3 linked regions of the Arabidopsis thaliana genome follow. The protein of the gene in region 1 interacts with the protein of each later gene in a pairwise test. Each region holds a gene or a part of one and is shown on either strand. Other genes may lie near its edges.

Region 1 (5,249 bases):
TGGTGGGAGGCGTTCATCACATGATGCACGCGGTAGTTATAGTGGTCGTGGTCGTGGCGGTCGTGGTGGTGGTGACGGTGGTGGTCGTGAACGTGGACCATCTAGGAGATCAGAGTACCGCGGTACATATGATATGTTTAGCTTTAGTGTATTCATAAGTTTTAGGAGAAATCACTAAATTAAGATTTTCCACTATACAGTTGTAGTGTCAGGTTTGCCTTCATCTGCGTCCTGGCAAGACCTCAAGGTGATTACACAGTTGTGGACAGATTCCTCATTGTCGTTCCTATATTTTCTACGATTTCTGAATGTTGACATATCACTTTGTTTTGAAGGATCACATGCGTAAAGGAGGAGAAGTTTGTTTTTCTCAAGTGTTTCGTGATGGTAGAGGTAAATCCTCATGTCTTACCCAAGAATAGAGATGTGTCTAAAGCTGTTTGGGTTTTCTGCCTTTAAATCCTGTTTTAACTAGTCTGTGCATGCTTTAAAAAATCTATATCGTGGACTATTTATTTACAGGTACAACTGGAATTGTAGATTATACCAGCTACGAGGACATGAAATATGCGGTGAGATGTTTTTCTTCCTCTTCATATTATTTGATTTTCTGTGTGGGACTGTGGCTGAGAATGTGTTCATCCTTGATTACTCATGATTATATTCTTTATTTTGTCCAGATAAAAAAAGCTCGATGACACAGAGTTTCGGAATGCGTTTTCTCATGAATATGTTCGGGTATGTTAAAGACAAGAATTCTGAGAGCTGCATTCGTTTTTATTGCACTTAACATTTCCCTATGTCATTACAGGTTAGAGAATATGATTCAAGGAGGGATTCGAGGAGCCCCAGCCGTGGAAGATCCTATTCTAAGAGCCGCAGCCGTGGACGGAGTCCCAGCCGTAGTCGTAGCCGCAGCAGAAGCAGGAGCAAGAGCAGAAGTCCAAAGGCTAAATCTTTGCGTAGATCGCCTGCAAAATCTACATCGAGATCTCCTCGCTCTCGCTCCCGCTCTAAGTCGAGGTCACTGTCTCCACGAGGGTATGCTTCATTTCTTCTATAATGTTTATGCTAAAATATCCAACATAAAACATAACATAGGCTCTATTTAGCTCTTCCCTTGAAGTTTGGTGACATCACATTAAAAGATGTCACTGGGATGACTCCGAGTTGTTGATTGAGAATGATGATTGCTTCTAGTTAAGGGTACACGATTTATTTCCTTTGAAAGTCTGGTCTTTTATAATTATAGTGTTGAGAATGGTTTTGTTTCTTAGATATGGATATACATACAATCAACTAAAATATGGGAAATAGTATCTGGATCATGGATGTCTTGGTTGGTTGTACACAACTGTTTCGTCTCAGAGGTATATGCTCTTTCTTAGATGGGCAAGTTCGTTTTCTGATAATATCCATTGCTGCTAGATGGGTAACAGTGGAGAGACATTGGATCGCATTGATATAGTGTCATCAAAATGGACCCATCGAGCTAGGACAGATATTTTCATTACCTGCTAATCGACAAGCGATCTGGATTCTCATGGAACCGATGCTGTTCTGGACACAGGGTTTGATAGAATTAGATTTGCTTTGATATTCTCCATCTCTACCATCTGTTTTAACGAAAAGCAGGCTTGTGTTGGTTTGATTTTCTGCTAGAAATAGTCTGAAGATATGTTTTTTTCTTTTTTGCTTCTTGTGATTGTGTTTTGATGTCTGACATGGAATGAGGCATCAAGGGTCTTGGTGAAACAGCTATTAAACACGGAAATATTGGATTTTTAAAACTGGATTTGTTTCTCGGACTTTTGCAGATCTCGTTCAAGGTCAAGATCTCCTCTACCCTCTCTAAGTCATCTATCTCTAATACACTTTTTACTCCGCTATACTATCAGCACAATATTTTCGGTTTTCAATCCATACTATCCAAAAGACATGATCTATGTCTAGCTAATTACATTCTCATCATCTGGATTGAATTGTGTGTGTTGCAGGTTCAGAAGGAAGCAAGTAAGAGCCCTAGCAAGCAGCTGAGCCCTATCCGTGGTAGGAGCAAGAGCAGAAGCAGGAGTCCATCTCGGTAATGCACACTCTTTTTAACTTGCTTGGAACATTCTCACTCTTTCTCTGAATCTCTTTCCAACTGTTTTACAGGTAAAGAAACATCTCATATCAGGTAAAAAGCTGGGTCTGTTGGAAGATTCTCATAAAGATGATCTCTCTTATGTATGAGAAGTTGAAAAACTAGTTGTGTATTTCATTCTTATTAGCTTGGGTTTGCACATGGGAATGATATATACTCAGTCATCATCAGTTTATGAGCTAAGCTCAGCTGATTTATATGACTTGCTAATATAGTTAGTGCTTAAAACGAACTATCAAAAATTACTGTCGAATACCAAACTTAATTCAAAAGCTCACAATTCGATATTAAAATTTTGAAAACGTTCACAATAAATGAACCTAAAAAGACATGTGCATTGAACTCATTTTGATACCCGGACCCTTTACATTTTAGTTCAGTCCGTACGATGTCATTTTCGAGAGCTGTTGCGCATTACTTACTTGCCTTTGTGTGGGTGTTAGTGAATCTGTGACCCACCTTAAGAACAGTTAAGACTATTCCCGGTTTACGCGTACCGGACCCATAACAGTATAAGTGAATTTGGATAAGAAAGGAGCCGCCTAGAGAGAAGAAGGCGATCCATGGCGGAATCTGTCTTCTCTTGTATACCAGAAGACGTAGTCTTCAACATCTTCTTCAAGCTCCAAGATGATCCAAGAAACTGGGCTCGTCTCGCTTGCGTCTGCACCAAATTCTCCTCAATTGTTCGAAACGTTTGTTGTAAAACTCAGTGCTACTCCGCTATCCCCACCGTCATCTCCGATCTCCTCCCTCTTCCTCCCTCCGCCGCCGCATCCGCTTCTTCATCCACCGCGGCGGATTCGTCTCTTACTCCTCCCGGTGGTTGGGCTTCTTTATACAAACTCGCTGTTTGTTGTCCTGGTCTCTTCCACGCTGGAATTCTCCTCGAAAACTCCGATTTCGGTTTAGAACGTGAGCTAGGTCCCGATCAAAACCTCGATCCGAAACCTACTACGACGGATCTAGCTCTTAACGACGAAGAAGTTTCGAAACCAGTTGGATCTGGTTTAGAAACGACTTCGTTTTGGTCTCTATATGATGATCTCTACACAGATACTATTCCCGCTCCTCCTCCCGAAGATTCAATCGACGATCAAGAAGAAGAAATCGAAACGAGTGAGATCAGACCTGGACGAGATCTTCCGGTAAGGAAACGAAGGAAGATTTGTCGATCTCTAGGATCTCATTTAGCTTCCGGTGGCTGGAACCTTAGCCGTGAACAAGGCAACAAGCTTCTCGCGAGTAGATTCCGAGGTGATTGTCTCTACATTTGCAATTGGCCTGGGTGTATTCACGTAGAAGAGAAACGAAATTACATGTTGTTTAGAGGAGTCTTCAAGGATTTCAAAAGGTCTAGAGTTTGGAGAACGATAAACGACGGTAATCGGAGTAAGACCTCGGGTTTGAAATGCGCGTTTTGTTTGTGCGATGAGACTTGGGATTTGCATTCATCGTTTTGTTTGAGAAGAGTGTTTGGGTTTCATGATGATGGTGAACCAGTTGTGAGAGCTTATGTTTGTGAGAATGGTCATGTCTCTGGTGCTTGGACTGCTTTACCTCTCTACACTTGATAGCTCACTAGAGAGGACAGGTCTTTCATTCTTCTTCCACGGTCTCAAGTCTCAATCTTGTTTGATGTATTTGTAGGAATAGTGTCATTGTGTTTCAAATTCTGGTTAATGTTTAAGTAATGGTTGAAGAAAATTGGCTCAACATATTGTGGTTGTTTTGTTTCAATGTTGACAACATATTAGACTTCGATTCAAATGCATAAACTCTTACGTCAAAGCCAAAAATTTCAAGTCCAAGAACATTTGGAAACAATATAACCCAAAACAAAAGGTAGAAGAAACTTAAACCAAGATCAAATCCATAGAAAGAAAACAGAGTACCAACAACATTCATATAAAAGAGGAAGTAATTCAGAGGGTTTCATAAACCTGAAAAGCTAATAATACCATATGGTTTTTCATCATCTCTAGAACAGAGTCTTCACTTGTCTTCCTTAACAGATGTTGTTTCTTCTGCCGCTGGTGCCTTCTCTGTCGCAAGACCTTCCTCCTTAACGGCATCATCCTTCTTGTCTCCTGATTTTGCTGTCTCTTCTGCAATTTACAGAAAATGTTTCATTACTTCAAAATTCTGCATTTTGTTGAGGAACAAAGAAACACAAAAATCTGCAAAATGTTTCCTAAGACAGAGTACTTGGCATATCATATGGAATATGAGATACTTCAATAACAAAGTCAATCAACTCTGGCGAAATGCTTTCATTTCAAGGAGGCTGTGACCAAACATAAACGAGAAAGATCTTCAAAAGTATTACCTTCATCATCACTGTCTTCAAACTCTTCCATGCCTCCCATACCACCCATGCCTCCCATTCCACCCATGCCTCCCATTCCACCGAGCCCTTCGAGTCCGCCCATTCCACCCATTCCACCCATTCCACCCATTAATTTCTGCACGAAGCAAGGATCAAGTATGAGGTCATTTCTCAGAGCTAGGTATATCTGAAGCACAAAATGAAGGACAATCAAAAGTTAGAAACAAACCGAGAAATCCATTCCTTCCATTCCTCCCATTCCACCCATTCCTCCCATTCCACCCATTCCTCCCATGCCGCCCATGCCTCCCATTCCTCCCATTCCTTCCATTCCTGCCATATCCATATCTGCGGCACCTAAACATAACATAGAAAACAAATAAGTTAACACATCCTGAACTTTATATAAAGTGCAGAGAGTGTACACAAGAACAGATAATATAAGCGTTAAGATGAATGCTAACCAGCACTGCCTTCATCGTCCTCATCAACCCACTTGTCCCAATCAACCTTGACATAGTGTGGGGGCTTCTTCACACGGAGTAGCTTATTCCACCTTTCCGGCTCTGCTTTCTCAATTATGCAGAATATGCTTCTCTCTCCAATGTTGATTTTGCTTTCCTAAAAGGGAAAAAGGTTAAAAGATTTAAGAACTAAACAGGTAACAAATGAAACAATAAGACCAAGTCAGCCTACAAATTCTCACCTCAACATTGACTTTATCGGCAAGTTCCAGTTTGAGCTCATAAACGTGGTTTTCTGGACCAACTTTCG
Region 2 (4,722 bases), on another chromosome or scaffold:
ACTGCATCTATACAGGTAAATCTACTTGTTATGTACTTCTTACTTTCAATAAGATAAAGTAATATATGTTCTTACTCATTTACTATATGTGCAAACTATATAGGGGGTTATATGGGTACAAGATCAGGTGAGTGACTTTCAAAGATACTTAGAAAAGTTAAACCAACAAGTTGGAGATGCAGCTAAAGTCAAAGAGATTATAGCCAATGCTGTGATTCTAGTGTCTGCTGGTAATAACGATCTTGCCATCACATATTTTTCAACTCCGAAGAGACAAACGAGATACACTGTCCAAGCATACACTGATATGCTCATCGGTTGGAAAACTACCTTCATAAATGTATACAACACACATTTATTTATAACTTTTTTTCTTCATAATATTGTTCTACCTATAATGATTATTTTGTATGAATAACAGAGTCTATATGATCTAGGAGCTAGAAAATTTGCAATTCTTGGAACGTTACCGTTAGGGTGTTTGCCAGGGGCGAGACAAATTACCGGAAATTTGATATGTCTTCCGAATGTAAACTATGGTGCTAGAGTTTATAATGACAAAGTAGCTAACTTGGTCAATCAGTACAACCAAAGGCTTCCCAATGGCAAATTCGTCTACATCGATATGTATAACTCACTTCTTGAGGTCATCAATAATCCTAGCCAATACGGTAAAACATTGAGTAACACACGCAAATTTTGAATATATATGGTAGAAAAAACAAGGGTGCTAATTTCTACATTGTAATACATTTCAGGGTTTACGACGGCAAAACCATGTTGTTGCTCGGTGATGACTCCGATTCCGTGTTTAAGATCTGGTAGTCACGTGTTCTGGGACTTTGCCCATCCTTCTGAAAAAGCCTATAAAACTGTTCTACCTTAGATCCTCAGTACCATCCAAAGCAACCTCGCCTAGTCACTAATTTTCTCTTTCTTTTTTATATTTAGACATGAGAACCATGAACCTTGGTTTGAATATGATTAGTTCCTCGATCGACGATGAGCCGCTTGTAGGTCTCTATTGTTAAGCTTGATTTATGTGTTCTCATCAATTAATCAGAATCAGTGATAATTTCATTTGCAATAATTTTGGTGCTTCTTAGTTTACCAAACCAGAAAAGTTATGTGTTTGGAAAAGAAGAAAAAAATACTAGAAGAAGATAAAAGATTTCCATCCAACACAAATACAAAGATCAACAAATGAGAGAAATACAACACAAATAAATATGTTATTAATTTTGGTTTGTTTAGTGTAACGCAATATTTTTCCCAAAAATTGTGGTGTTTGTTACCTACTTTTTACATTTTCCTTGATATTCACTACAAAATACCCAAATAATAATTCATAATTTCACATAGATTTTTACATACAAACGTGGAGGTTTTCTTTGATTAAAACATAAAAACCCTAGTCAATGATTTTTGCACACGTAGATAAACTGTATTTTCTGAAATCAGATGTAAATCTGAAAAAGTAAATATTATTAACGGAATACAGCTAAGGTGAAGTTTGTGGAAAAGTAAAAATATTTACTTTATTTAAAACAACATAAATTTTCCATTTTTTAAAAACTTAAATTTCCAATATTTGTTTTACTTTTTACTGTTCTCCTATTAGTAAAAGGAGTAGATTAACTTAAAAGCAATAAGCCGGCAAAAAAAAAAAAACTTAAAAGCAATAAACCGACTTGAATACCAATTAAGAAATTGGCTATAAATAAGGCTCCAACTTCCCAAACCTTGACACCATCACAACAATCAATCGCAGCGCCGATTCTCCTTCAAAAACTTTTCCTAAGTCGTCACTTTTTACGATGGCAGAAACGAAGAAGATGATCATCCTTAAGAGCTCCGACGGTGAATCCTTCGAGATCGAGGAAGCCGTCGCTGTTAAGTCCCAGACGATTAAGCACATGATTGAGGACGACTGTGCCGATAACGGAATTCCACTTCCCAATGTCACCGGAGCCATCCTCGCCAAGGTTATTGAGTATTGCAAGAAGCACGTTGAAGCCGCTGCTGAAGCTGGTGGAGACAAGGATTTCTATGGTTCCGCTGAGAACGACGAGCTTAAGAATTGGGACAGCGAATTCGTCAAAGTCGATCAGCCTACTCTCTTCGATCTCATCTTGGTTAGTAAAGTCGCTTTCATTGTTTAGGTTTGATGTTGTTAGAATTAGGGTTTTTAATTTGGGGATTTAGGTTTGATTTTGCAGGATTCTGTTAGGGTTTTAGTGTGTTGAATGTCGTTTTGATTTGACTAATCGTTTTGGTTCTTTGGTTTGTACAGGCTGCGAACTATTTGAACATCGGTGGACTTCTTGACCTTACGTGCAAGGCCGTGGCTGATCAGATGAGAGGCAAAACTCCAGAGCAGATGCGTGCACACTTCAACATCAAGAACGATTACACACCTGAGGAAGAGGCGGAGGTTCGCAATGAGAACAAGTGGGCGTTCGAGTGATTGGATCGGATCTGAAGGGTGTTTAGGAATCTCTAGTCTTTCTATTTAGATGTGTTTAGCTTTCAAGATTTCGGATTGTTTTTTTTTTCTTTCTTTTTCTCTTCGATTGGAGTTGTCCTTGTCGATGAAAACCTAATGCTTTGTTCTACTAACAACATCTATTGGTTTTTATGAGAAATATTTGAGAGAAAGTGTTGGTCTTGCTTAATCTTTTTGCTCTTTATACATGAATGTGTTCTCTTTAGATTATCGTTAACGTTCGCTATCGTTGTCGTCTTTGCTGGTTACAACGAATGGACTTCTCACATTGTACATTCCGTTAGACCATGTTATAGATCCAAACGCATCGTCCTTGAGTATTGTTGTAGTAGATGAAAAGATCACTTGGTAGCTGAGTTTATCTCCTATCTTCCTGAAGTGTAGCCTTCTTGGTATAACTCTGACTAGTAATCCTTCTGGTGCATCGATACTCACAGTGTAGACTGTATCTTCATCTCCAATGAGGCGTGATGCTACATTTGTCACTGTTCTGCTTACCCTTCTGCTTTCTTTTCCATTGAAGTTAGAAATCGAGATTGATGGGTAGTTGATGTTAGATATGTCTCCCCTGTTGCTTTGTTCAGGACAAGCAAAACCTTGTGGTATGCGGTTTGATATCTTTTTGATCTGATCAGATGTAAATCCATAGTAGCCGAGGAAGTTTAGGTAGTCCATGTGATTGGTTTCATAAATCAGTCCTGGTGATGAAGGTCCAAATATAGTAACCTGCCCAGCACCAAAGTCATAAGGTGTGGCCTTTTCTCCTGTTTCTGTAGTTATATGGGAACCTGTGTTGGTCATTTGCACGGCTGCAGATACAGTTGACTTGGGTTAACTCTAGCTGATCAATCATCCGTAACTGGTATCTACTTGATTTTGATTTCTCACCTGTTGTCATGATGGCAGATCTGATTGCTGCAGGACTCCATGAAGGGTATCTGGATTTGAGACGAGCAGCAATCCCGGAGACATGGGGACATGACATTGAAGTCCCTGATTCAATGTTGAAGAGTGGCGGTGGCTTGCCTTCTGGTGCTGCATTTCTGTCACCGACTAACCACGATGCTAGTATGTTGACCCCTGGTGCTGCAATATCAGGCTGTAACAGGTTTATCAATATTTTGTTTTTGAAGTTTCTGTGAATACTGTTGAGATCATGTTTATGATGAATATTAGGGCTTATACCTTGAGGATGCTTCTGGTAAGCAAGTAAGGACCTCTTGATGAGAAGGATGGTATGGATGGAGCTAACATGTGTCCTGTTCGTGATCTTGTAGGCATGATTGTTGCAATTGGTTCTCTACAATATGGATTATGATATATTAGTTCTGTTTTTTTTTTTTTTTTGGGTAAAAATATTATTATTAGTTCTGTTTGAAAGCAATGTCTTGTGAAATGAGACATCTTAAACCTTGTTGAATTTATGTAGGACATGATTTGTATGCCGTCCTCTGGTTTTATTATTGTCACTAGAAAGGAGGGATCAATAAAAGACAGATCCATTGACTCGTCATCAACAAGTACCATACCGATACCTCCAAGTCTCTTAACCTCGTCGCTTTTCCACTGGATCACCTGGTTATCAAGATCACTGTCACACACAACAATCTTTCCCTTAACAATGGTTTGGTCTAGTGTATCAGGTGCGCAGTTCCTGAAGGTTTGCAGTTGTGTTGTCTTGTTAGTATAGGTATAGCAAAGTTACTCTATAATTTTACGAGGCAACTATTACCTAGCAGCTTCCTCATTAGCATCAATCTTCTTGGCTGATCGTGCGTGTATAAGTGGGTAAGCCTGTGTTTTATCGATATTGGCAATATTTATTCCAAAACCCTGCAAAAGAAATTCTTTAAGATGTTATGTGAATGGAGATTTGTCCGTTGATTGGCTTTTCCTTCTTACCTCGATTAATCTGTTTTCATCTCCTCCCAGAAGAATGTTGGACTCAAAGCCACGGTCAATAGTGCTGGCAGCAACAGTGATCATCCATGGAGCAGCATTAAACACACTTTGACTCGATGGGCCAGAATTTCCTACAGAGCAAACAACAGTGATCCCTCTTTCCACGGCATGAAATGACCCGATGGAAAGCGGATCTTCAAGTAAATTGTCTGGCCATAAGCCCATTGATATGGATATAACATCAACCCCATCTGCGATTGCATCATCAAATGCAGCTAGTATGCTCGAGCCACGACATCCCAGGAGTGAGCACG
Region 3 (3,875 bases), on another chromosome or scaffold:
GAACAAAAGGAGTATATTAGTATATTGCTAAAGAAGTTTCTAGAAATATATATATCTTCCACTAAACCCTAGTTAAAATAGGATTTGAGTCTATTTTCCTTATTTCTTTGTGAGAAAAGGAAACAACATGAAACCCAATATCTAATTGTGAAAAGGAAAACACAATTGACTGAATCTTAGGGTTCTATAAATAGACTGATTCAACAATCTCTCATCAAAATTTCTCTTCACAAACAATTGACTCTTGTTTTTCGTTCAACACACAAAGCAAAAAACAATGTCTTCGAAAAAGATTGTGTTGACAAGCTCCGATGGTGAATCTTTCAAGGTTGAAGAAGTGGTGGCAAGAAAACTGCAGATCGTAGGACACATTATCGAAGACGACTGTGCTACAAACAAAATCCCTATTCCAAACGTTACCGGAGAGATTCTCGCCAAGGTTATCGAGTACTGCAAGAAACACGTTGAAGACGATGATGACGTGGTGGAGACGCATGAATCATCGACGAAAGGAGATAAAACAGTTGAGGAGGCGAAGAAGAAGCCTGATGATGTGGCCGTACCTGAATCAACTGAAGGAGATGATGAAGCTGAGGATAAGAAGGAGAAGCTTAATGAGTGGGATGCAAAGTTCATGAAGGATTTCGATATTAAGACGATCTTCGACATTATTCTGGCTGCTAACTATCTCAACGTCCAAGGTCTTTTTGATCTCTGTAGCAAGACCATTGCAGATTACATAAAAGATATGACGCCAGAGGAAGTTCGAGAACTCTTTAACATCGAGAATGATTTCACACCTGAAGAAGAAGAAGCAATTCGCAATGAAAACGCTTGGACTTTTGAGCAAGATGGAAAACAACAAGTTCCAAAACCCTAGCTTTTTGCTTCGTTTCTTTTTTCTTTTTTCCTTTTACATGTATGATTTGTTTCTGTTTTCTCAAGTGTGTGTGGGATTGATTGGTCTCTTTAATTTCGTTGTTAAGTCTTTCTTTACTTAATTGACCAATTTTCTTGCACTATTATGATGAATGATGATCAATAAATATGCTTTAGCTTTAGCTATCTTTTAGAGTGAAGCGGATTAAATCTCAACTAATGAATCGTCCACCAAAATTATGAAAAAATTAAAGAGAATCGTCCACCCAAATCCTCCGGCAATTCCGAATTCTTTCTCCGGTTGTAACGTAGTAAAAAAAAGTCGCCGCCGTTAAAAAACTTCCTATTATTTTCTCTTTTTCTTAAAATTATTAGTTCGTATGAATCAAAGTTTTTCTTTTTTTCTTTTCTTATGCTAGTTATCAAGAATTTCTTATATACAAACATGTATATATATTTACGAGGTTATTTATGATTTTTCTTAGAACAATTTATTTTTTTATGTACTGTTTTGATCGAGGCTCGAATCTAGCTAGATCAATAGAGATTATTTAATTTGAGATTTACTCTTCTAATTAGTAGTTATTCAAATAAAAGTAGAAAATTAAAACCTAATAAACTAAAAGAACGCAACTGATTACAAAACTTAATTTATAGACTCTTATCCTATAATTAGATTAATAATTAATCAATTAAATTCAATTCTAAGTAAGATGGACAAATTAATTAAATAAATAAAATGTCATACAAAATTTTCATAGAAAATAGCCATGTTTAGGAAAAAAACTCTTTTTGTATGTTAAATAAGTTTCTAGAATCTCCTGATAAACTCTTTTACTAAGACGTCGGTTTTTACTTTTAAGCCCAAAAGTTTTAAGGCTAAACACTAGAGATTTGGAAGATTTGCTTTTCTTCTCTTCCAGTATTGTGAAAAGGAAAACACAATTGACCGACTCTTAAAATATTTTATAAATAGACGCCTTCATCGACTCCTCTCTATTCCATTCAATATCTTTGCATAAATCATAACCAATATTATTCTTTTCATCACCCAAAATCTCAAAAACGAACAAACATGTCTTCCAACAAGATTGTTTTGTCTAGCTCCGATGGCGAATCTTTCGAGGTTGAAGAAGCGGTGGCAAGAAAACTGAAAATCGTGGAACACATGATTGAAGACGACTGTGTTGTTACCGAGGTCCCTCTTCAAAACGTCACCGGAAAGATCCTCTCCATTGTTGTCGAGTATTGCAAGAAACACGTCGTTGACGAAGAAAGCGACGAGTTCAAGACTTGGGACGAAGAGTTCATGAAGAAATTTGATCAGCCTACGGTCTTCCAACTCTTGCTCGCTGCTAACTATCTCAATATCAAAGGCCTTCTTGATCTCTCTGCTCAAACCGTTGCAGATCGCATCAAAGATAAGACTCCAGAGGAAATTCGAGAAATCTTCAACATCGAGAACGATTTCACACCCGAAGAAGAAGCAGCGGTTCGCAAGGAAAACGCATGGGCTTTTGAATAGACACCAAAACCCTAGTTTTTGGTTTCGTTTCTTATTGTCGGTTTTAGGGTTTTGATGACTTTCGTCTCTCTTTTTTTTTTGGTTTTCCATATTTCGATTTCGTGAATGATTTTATATTTTGGCTTATTCAAGTGGTGTGATTGATGACTTTGATTTCGTTGTTAGTTCTTTACCTTACTCTCTATTATGGTGATCAATAAATAGATGCTTTAGCAATCTTGTTCGTTTTAGAGTGAAAATCGAATCGTCCACTAAAAACCTCCGGCGATTCGGAATCTTCTCCGGCGTAGAATAGAACATAATATCGCCGCCGTTCTCTTTTTTTTGTTGGGAACTAAATGATTGGCCCTGCCTAGGGTTTCTCCGTATCTTTGAATATCCTTCTTAATTTGTTTATTAAACTATATAATAGCGATAAGAAATTACTATTTATTTTTAGGCTCCTATTTAATATTTATATATAGTTATACGTACAAAATAATTTAGTTTATATTATTATTATTTATTTTTTTCCTTTTCCTTCCCAAATCTAGGATGGGAATAAAATACTTCGTTTTAATATTCTTTTTTTTCTTTTCGGGTTGATAATTGAGAGGTTAAGATTTTCTTAGAGCGATTTATTATTTTATGATATTAAAATATACGGACGATATACTGAAAGAAAATTCATGCGAGAGGATGTTAATATGCAAATTAATACTATTCAGTTGAATTTTGCCATGCAATCTTTTTGGTCGTAAATTTTGTTGAAAACTTATCCAATCTCATATGAAGCGTCCCAAGGCCCATATCAACACTTATTACGTAGAAAACATCATAAAGCGAGAGAAAAAGAGAGAGAGGCAGAGAGATAGGAGCGTATGGGCTTTCTTTTTTGTTTTGTCAAACAACTTTAATTTACTTAAAACCTAAAAGAGGGATGTTCATACAAATAGAAACTGAAAAAAACACAAAAGGAGGAGAGATAATGGCTCCATGAGTTTTTCAAAAAGATGCTCATCTTTAAAGAGTTTGCAAAGATTAAAAAATCTGTTGAAGCAAAAATTGGGTTCGCCCATAAAGACAGACTTCACAAATTCCTCGACCACCATGTGGTTATAGATGGCTCGAGCGAACAACGCATACAAGCTTTTAAGAAAACGTTCCACGGAAGAAGCTGCCGGATAAGAGAGATTGTCGAAGATTCGGTAACTACTTCTCCTTGGAGATGCAGTCAAAATGCCGTTATTCTTCAAACTTTGAAAGGTTTGCAAATTGATCAAGAGCTTGTCGAGCCTAAAGAGTTGCTCACCTTAAGAATTACTAAAGATTGCTTTATAATCCTAGAAAAACCACCAATCGCAGATGTTGTGTAATGTCATATACATGAGCTCAGAATTCAGAGGAAATGGATTTAAAGGATTGAGAAAACTTCGGTAATCATCGTTCCGTAAAGACGGGCTCATAATGCTGAATTTCTTCAAGCTTTTGG

What was found.
Region 2: the proteins of EID1 (region 1) and SK4 interact in binary tests that used the Arabidopsis thaliana proteins (3 or more experiments, as listed by UniProt).
Region 3: the proteins of EID1 (region 1) and SK14 interact in binary tests that used the Arabidopsis thaliana proteins (3 or more experiments, as listed by UniProt).

What each region holds. Positions count from the first base shown.
Region 1 is NC_003075.7:1,069,846-1,075,094, forward strand, and holds EID1 (F-box family protein), read left to right. Parts: upstream 1-2,635; 5' UTR 2,636-2,709; coding exon 2,710-3,720; 3' UTR 3,721-3,934; downstream 3,935-5,249. Other genes in the region: SR34b (RNA-binding (RRM/RBD/RNP motifs) family protein), read left to right, coding at 1-122, 201-247, 336-393, 523-572, 691-738, 812-1,041, 1,440-1,521; AT4G02450 (HSP20-like chaperones superfamily protein), read right to left, coding at 4,142-4,254, 4,476-4,611, 4,705-4,832, 4,940-5,096, 5,182-5,249. UniProt on the Arabidopsis thaliana protein: Component of SCF(ASK-cullin-F-box) E3 ubiquitin ligase complexes, which may mediate the ubiquitination and subsequent proteasomal degradation of target proteins.
Region 2 is NC_003070.9:6,984,613-6,989,334, forward strand, and holds SK4 (SKP1-like 4), read left to right. Parts: upstream 1-1,699; 5' UTR 1,700-1,817; coding exon 1,818-2,135; intron 2,136-2,293; coding exon 2,294-2,467; 3' UTR 2,468-2,719; downstream 2,720-4,722. Other genes in the region: AT1G20135 (GDSL-like Lipase/Acylhydrolase family protein), read left to right, coding at 1-15, 104-340, 422-671, 759-886; AT1G20150 (Subtilisin-like serine endopeptidase family protein), read right to left, coding at 2,720-3,315, 3,395-3,605, 3,692-3,806, 3,918-4,160, 4,239-4,339, 4,409-4,722. UniProt on the Arabidopsis thaliana protein: Involved in ubiquitination and subsequent proteasomal degradation of target proteins. Together with CUL1, RBX1 and a F-box protein, it forms a SCF E3 ubiquitin ligase complex. The functional specificity of this complex depends on the type of F-box protein.
Region 3 is NC_003071.7:959,368-963,242, forward strand, and holds SK14 (SKP1-like 14), read left to right. Parts: upstream 1-1,940; 5' UTR 1,941-1,954; coding exon 1,955-2,404; downstream 2,405-3,875. Other genes in the region: SK19 (SKP1-like 19), read left to right, coding at 278-880; AT2G03180 (uncharacterized protein), read left to right, coding at 3,397-3,759. UniProt on the Arabidopsis thaliana protein: Involved in ubiquitination and subsequent proteasomal degradation of target proteins. Together with CUL1, RBX1 and a F-box protein, it forms a SCF E3 ubiquitin ligase complex. The functional specificity of this complex depends on the type of F-box protein.